Xenopus tropicalis: one gene and its partner. The protein of the gene in region 1 purifies or fractionates together with the protein of each later gene. This does not show direct contact. Links are inferred from orthologs where the notes say so. Each region holds a gene or a part of one and is shown on either strand. Other genes may lie near its edges. The genes, in order: clstn1 and apba2.

Region 1 (3,832 bases):
ATTTGACTTGGATTATTGTACAGTTTTATAGAGCTAAACTAGGCACCCAAACAGGAAACCTACCTGTAGGGTTCATAGTCTCTGCAAAATATCTGAGGATATTTCCAAATGGAGTGCTGTAGTTACTTTTGGACCTCTTCACAGGGGCAAGCTCAGAAGTATATACGGTCCAATGGGGTTCCTATCTGACCAATTTTATTATTTTTAAACCTCAACAAATGCTGCAAAGTGAGTGTGGGAGCCTTTTCCATCAAAAAGGAGTTATACAAGGTATTGCACTTGGGAGATGGCAATAAGTACCCGATGTAAAAATGAGTTTCAGCAGGTTTAGGTGCAACAGGCTTTTTAAAAATGATACATTGACCAGTAAATTATAATCTACTTTAAAAGTTTATTTATTTTGAAGTAAAACTTTTTTTTCCTAATAAGAAATAATGCAGCCATCTCACCTGGTTAAGTTTCCAATTGAATTCTGCAGGTTTATAGATCTCCTCTGAAGCCACCTGGTGAAGGAGAAAACCTAGCTTGCAGTTGTGTATGTAGAGAAAATAGTGATGCTGACTTATTTCTATTGAAAAGAAGAAGAGAATAAAATAACAAAACATTTTTAAAATATAACCTAATAAAATAGGGTCACGTCACCTAAATAATAACAAAGCATCAGTACATATGTTTTTGGTATGCAAATCTACTCCAAAGAATAATTTGGAACACTGTTAACTACAAATTCCCAAACACTGATGCCAAGTGCACACGTGCATAGGATCTATTCAGGCCCAGATTGGCAATCTGTGGATTCTGGCAAATGCCAGAGAGGCTGCTATAAAACGCCATAGACATTCACTATTTTTTGGCCTGGTAGGGGCTGTTTGGGCCTCTCGGTACTTGGAATGCTAGGGTCCAATTTGAATCCCAATCCAGTCCTGGATCTATTATCTGGAAAGGTTTGGGTGCTAGAATACTCTGGATAAGGTTTTTTTTTCACAATTTAGGTCATACCATAAATCTACAAAAGAGTATTTAAAAATTATATTATTCAAAATTTGCCACCAATTTGGATTTATGCTAGCTTAGTTACAATCGAGTACAAAGTACTAGATTGAACCAAGAATAATTAAGAGGAAACGAAAAAGAAAGTGGTGGGAAACACCACCAAACCTTGGTAGTAATAACAATACTTTAGGGCTAGAGGTATCAGTAAAATACAGTTAATGTATCGAAAAATACCGCCAAGGATTAGTTAAAAAAATATTTTAAGATTAACTAAACCAAACTGAGTTGTTTTGCCACCAATATGGATTTAGGCAGCTTAGTGTGGACAAGATACTGTTTTCCTTTTTTAAAACAAAAGAAAATCATTATTAAAGATTAGAACTATTTGCTTAAAATGGACTTGGGAGATGGCCTTCTTGTAATATTAAGCTGTGTGGATAATGGGTTTCCTGATAAGGGATCCCATAACCTATACTTTTGCTTGGGTACCCCTTATGGAAACACTACCATTTTAAGCCCTAATGTCTGTGTTTTACTTTAGCTTTTATATGCTAAAACAAAGAGCACATTTATATATTAGGTTACATCAGGCATTGAATGGACAGAGCTATTATTTACTCGTCCCCTTCATTCTACAACAGAACCTGCATTTTCTCCATGTCCAGTGTCCAAGAAGACCAAGAACACCACAAAACAGTGGCTTAATGTATAATATCATGGGCAGCATGGTAGCTCAGGGTAAAGTACTTCTGCTTTACTACACAGGTGTTATGAGATTTATTCTGGGTTATTAGTTACTTTGCATGTAAACCTGTATGTTCAACATCCATTGATTTACAGTACCTTGCAGAATTATAACAACAACAATAATGTTAATACTTTGGTTTCCTCCACTCAAAACACATACTGGCAGGTTAATTTGCTCCTCATAAAATTGCCCATTGTGTGAATGTAATAGGACCTTAGGCTGTAAGCTCCACTGGGTCAGGTACTGATGTGAATAATGTAGAATATCTGTAAATCTCTGTGTAAATGTGTCAGGACTATATAAATACCAGGAAATCAATATATAAGAAATCTGTTGGTTAAATTTGTGTTCAGAACATATTAGTTTTCCTCTATGTATAAACATTAAGCTTGCTTGAGGTAAGTTTCTAGAGGCCAAAAACAGAATGAACTGCTTTTTTATAGTTGTTTAAAAAAATGTTAAAAGAACTCAAGTATAAATGCAAATGTAGAGAAGAAATATGATTTTTTTTCCCCCACCAATGATGCATCTACTGTATAACCCAAAATACCTGTTTTGCCAGAAAAGCACAACACTGATTCCTTCTCTTTGCCACCAGTTCCATGTCGCATCCAAACAGAAATCACAAAGGGCTCATCAAAGTTCAAAGTCACAAATTCATCTGGAATCTTTACTGCCTGAGTGCCATTGAATTCAAATACCTGGTCACTCTCATGACCATTATCCGTGGGAAGCCCTAAGGTCCAGTTTGTGGTCATGCTGGGAGATGGAAGCAGTTCTACTACATCAGAGGAAGACCCTGCAAGCAAAATTAGAATATGCAAAAAACAAATTACTTTTCAAATGTAATATTTCCCTCTTACCAGTTATGTGCCAGTTGCACATAACATGCCTGTCTACCTTACTATGCTTTCCCAATGTGACAATCTCTTGCCCTCTTATGCCTGTGCCAAGCACTCCTCTCACTCCCCCATCCTCACATGGCAACTATCCCTTTTATTTTCCCGAGTCACTACCCCGCCCCCCCCCCTTGATTCATCCGCCCCCCCCCACGCCATGTCTTACAATAAACAGCAACTTGTTTTATGTAATGCTGTATGATTGTGCTCTGTACAGCATATACATTTTTAAAGACATTTATAACAAACACCCCGTGCTAATTATTTTATTAGGGTGGTAGGAATGGACCAATAATAGTATGTGCAAATGTTTTTTGTACAATCTCCCTTATATTCAATTGTGAGGGTTTATTAAAGAAAGTTTGGGAATGGACCAATATTAACATGTGCAAATGTTCTTTACAGTCTCCCATATATTCAACAGTAAACGTGGCCCATATACGGTACAATCCGCTGGTTTGGCAAGGTCCCCAAAAGGCCAGATCTTTTCCCGATCTTCTCCCAATATGCCCACCTAAGGTGGGGGATATTGGAATAATTTGATAATTTGACCCTGGGGCCAAACTATCTAATAACTGTGGGTATATAAGCTGTCGGACAGAGGACCGCATCAATAAGCCAATGTGGTTCCAGATCTCGCGGGAAATTCAAACCTGCCTGATTGAGATCTGCCCGATTTTGTGCCAGATATCAGTCGGGTAGGCCGGGGGGGTGGGTGCCCATACAGGAGCACATAAGCTGCCAAATCGGTCTGAAGGACCCGAATCAGCAGCTGAAATCAGCCCATGTATTGCCACCTTTAGAGTTTGTCCTCAGGTGTTGTCCCTGAGGTTGTGCTGAATATCTGCTGAGACATAGCAGATGTTTACTATTAAGTACCTTTATATAAGGATCTTTGCATTTAGCAAACAAATATTATTTTCTTTAAATCGGGCTAAAAGCAGCGTGAGCTAAAAGCTTTGAATATTAAGATTTTTCTTCCCTATACAATAAGTCTTCTGTGTATGTTTTTTTACACATATCTTCCATGCCACTACAAACCTATAGGTAGTTTTTGCCCTGCCCACACAAGGAGGTAGGGTCAGTATTTTTGTCCTTCTGGAAAGGGTGGAAGGATGTCTGTTGTCACATTTTTGTTTAATACATCATTATAGAAAGAAAGCCCAATTTGGCTCCTTGTGAATTTTACCTC
Region 2 (3,832 bases), on another chromosome or scaffold:
ACTGTACAGCAGAGCAATATATTAATGGAACAAACAAGTCATTACAATAATAGATAAACACATACAAGTATGATAATAAATACAAATAAATACAAAGTACAGATACATTAAAGATTCTCCAGAGCTAATGGGCTTAGTTATCAATTTTCGAGTTTGTTTTTCTAAATCAAATAAACTTGCATATTGAATGGTCGCTTATTTATTAATAAGGAAAACTTGTTGGAATGAAAAACTTGAATATCTTTCGAATTTTTCGAGTTTACAAGCTCTAAAAACTCAAAAATGTAAAAAATTTGAGTTTGAGAATATGGCTTGACTTTATCCTGACAACTCTCATTGACTTCTATAGACACTTGCAAGCTTTTACATAGCTAATTTTTAAATTTGAGTTTTCAGGTTTTTTGCACCAAACATTCGAGATTTTGAACTATAACTCGAATTTCAGAAACTCAAATCGAGAAAAAAAATTGAAATCGACCGTTGATAAATCACCCCCAAGAAACAAGAGAATGGGGGTTGATGCCTGTAGGGCTTATAATCTAAATGGGGGGGGGTAAATTACAGACACACATAGGGGGATATTAAGTCATTTAACATTAATTATTTTGCCTCCAATAAAGAGTAATGATATATTAGTTAGGATGAATTACCAAATACTGTTTTAGCATTACAAAGAAAAGGGTAATAATTTAAAAATTTTTTAATTATTTGATTACAATGAAGTCTATGGAAGAAGAATTTCCCGTAATTTGAAGCTTTCTAGATAACAGATCCCATAGCTGTATTCAAATTGTACAAATAGACGGGTTAAACATAGCAATAATTAATATAAATATACCGATATGAAGATTAGGTACCTCAATGCAGTAGTTTTGCAATAAGAATTTGATGTATACTAGCTTACCTATTTATTACAAAGCACTCTTTTTTTTTTTTTTTATTACAGAGAAAAAGTGTCAGTCAAAAAAAGGAAACTGTGTGTTGCGTGAATTAGACACTATAGCTAACATTGCTATATTTTGGAATTTCATAGATCACAAAATATAGATCGACATGTATTTAATGTGACGTCTCACTAGTTATGACAGTTACAACATTATTTATCAATCTGGTGTTAACTCGCTTTCCACCTCCTTTTTTTGTTAGGCATAAAGCTTATGAACCTTTCTGATGTTATTACATCTTATGCTTGGAGGATGATTTATAACAGCCCTTGAAGGGACTGGAGTGATGTGTTTACAGTTGGGCAAGCCTGCCCAGCAGGGGCGATTCTGGACATATCGCCGCCTGAGGCGGCTCCTGGATGCCGCTCCTGGATGCCGCTCCCCAGCGCTTACCTTCTGAGCGCAGGAGCGGGTCCGGGGGCAGTGAGATCGCTAGTGCAGAGAGCGCAATTGCGCTCTCTGCACTAGAAGAGCCGAATTTCCGGTTTAAAAAGGCGCTCCTGGTAACTTTAAGAACCGGAAATTCGGCTCTTAAAGTTACCAGGAGCGCCTTTTTGCCGCCCCTGGTAACTGGGGCGCTTCTGCCGCCTGAGGCGAGTTTCTCAACTCGCCTAATGGCAGAAGCGCCCCTGCTGCCCAGGGTCGGACTGGGCCGCCGGGACACTGGGAAAAATCCCGGTGGGCCCCGGCGGCCCAGACCGGAGCGGGGCCCTTCACCCCCCAGTCCTACCCTGAGCCTGCCCTGTGGTACCAAGGTGTAACAGCCTAGTTACCAGGGTTAAACAGTTGTATTTTGGAATCTGGTGAAAATCTGTTGGTTTTAATAAAGATACAATTTTTTCCTAACTCTGCTCTAGAGAAACAATAAAATAAAAACATTCCATCAATAAACATGTTATATGTTGCAAAATCATTATCAATATATATCACCATTGCACCATTCTTAAAATCTGCAGAGGCTATCTTTGCTGGTGTGGAAATAGACATGTTTTTACTTTTTTTTTACAATTGTGAGGCGTGAAAATATTATACAGACACATTACATTGTGTTCATGCAGTGCAGTGTTCATGCAGTGAAATCATCTTTTAGATATCATTAAAGGATAAGGAAAGGCTAGTAAAGAGTTAATCTCAAACTGCAGGCATACCTTCAGTTGTCTCAATAGTGCCCTTAAGTCTCCCCATATTTCACCTGTTCAGAAGAGCTGAAGCCAAACAGGAAGAAAAAACACTGAGCTGTGTAAACAAAGTTCCCATAATGCCTCACTCCTGCAAAGACACCGAGACCAAACTGAACATGCTCAGTTAGTAAGACTATGAGTCAGCTTCCTGCTGATTGGCTCAGATCCACATTCCTAAGGGGGGGAGTGAGTTCTTAGCATTCTTGAGGGGAGGGGGGAGCAGCAGAGAGGAGAGAGCAGAAAGCTGCGTGTCTCTGGCAGAGGTAAACAGACACAACTAATCTTTTTTCAGAGAAGTCAGTGCAGCATTTCTGTGAGTGCTGTATTTACATAGACCTTTCTGATAAAGCTTACTTAGTATTTACCTTTCTTTTTCCTTTAACATAACTGTATTGATCTATACAGTCCAGCTTATAAAAACTGGATACCTATCTATGCACTCTTTGTAATTATTTATATATTTTGTTATACAGTATAGCTAAGGCCTATAAAGTCAGGGTACAAAGAAACAAGATTGTGCACCACTTCTAGATGCCACTATTTTTTTAATGGTGAAAGTCTGTTTTCTGGTATATCCATTATTTATTATTATAGCCCTGTTAACTTAGCTTTCTATATGAACAATAATTGTTTTACTGAGATTACTAATATAATATACTACTTTTTAAATAGTTTTCAGATTATTTGAATCTCTAATAAAATTTTCAGTTGCTGGTGCTTGCTGCTAGATGCATTACAGTTGCATTATCAATGAGTCAACAGGTTTGCGTACTTACTAACCTTAGTATTTAGTTTATATATAACTTGGCATACATATTACCTGATATTGTAAAAAAAATATTACATTATGCTAGACTAATCCTTACAAATTACAAAATATTTTTATTATGCATTAAAGTATAACTTTCGAATTATAGCTAACTTCATTCTTTTATTTTTCTATAGTATTTGTCAAGAAATGATGGTCATGTAAGTTGCTGAATATGGCAAATCGTAAATGTCAGAGCACAACGGCCAGCATAATGGATCAGAGACCGAGGTCTTGTCCTCCTTCTCCTCATGCCATGGACCCTGGAAGTGAAGAATCTGTTTATGAAGAAGTTATAGTACCAGACTTTAACTCACGGATTTCAAAGAGCAGACACATGTCAAACACCCAAGAAGACCATGACTGCAATGACAACAGTGGTGATGGGGACTCTAGTTCTGATTATGTGAATAATACCTCTGATGAAGAATATGATGAAGGACTTCCTGATGAAGAGGAAGGAATCACCTATTATATACGTTATTGTCCTGAAGATGACAGTTATCTTGAAGGCATGGACTGCAATGGAGAGGAGTATATTCACCATGAAGAACACCATATAGAAACTGATGAATGTGTAGAAGCAGTAGAAGATGAATGGACAGAATCCAAGACACAACAACAGCATTGTATTGATAGAGACACAGAGGAAGAAAATCAGATGATTACATTAGGGCAGGATAGCTCTTTAGAGGAACATAACCAAGTTGAGGAAGCCCATTTTAGTGAAAATGAGGAGGGATACCCGGACTACTACTCCCCAGAGGCCAATGGAAACTCACTTCCTCCATCTCCATTTCCTATAAGGAAAGGTGATGGAAATACAGAAGAACCAGAGGAGGACATTGATCAGATTGTGGCTGAAATAAAAATGAGTATGAGCATGAGCAGCATCAATA

The links.
Region 2: the proteins of clstn1 (region 1) and apba2 purify together in Homo sapiens (affinity purification with western blotting; 3 studies listed by BioGRID and IntAct, with this or other methods). This does not show direct contact. The link is inferred for Xenopus tropicalis from reciprocal best matches to the Homo sapiens genes CLSTN1 and APBA2.

The regions. Positions count from the first base shown.
Region 1 is NC_030683.2:55,939,122-55,942,953, reverse strand, and holds part of clstn1 (calsyntenin-1), read right to left. Parts: intron 2,541-3,832; coding exon 2,292-2,540; intron 569-2,291; coding exon 450-568; intron 1-449. UniProt on the Homo sapiens protein: Postsynaptic adhesion molecule that binds to presynaptic neurexins to mediate both excitatory and inhibitory synapse formation.
Region 2 is NC_030679.2:97,171,311-97,175,142, forward strand, and holds part of apba2 (amyloid-beta A4 precursor protein-binding family A member 2), read left to right. Parts: intron 1-3,070; 5' UTR 3,071-3,108; coding exon 3,109-3,832. UniProt on the Homo sapiens protein: Putative function in synaptic vesicle exocytosis by binding to STXBP1, an essential component of the synaptic vesicle exocytotic machinery. May modulate processing of the amyloid-beta precursor protein (APP) and hence formation of APP-beta.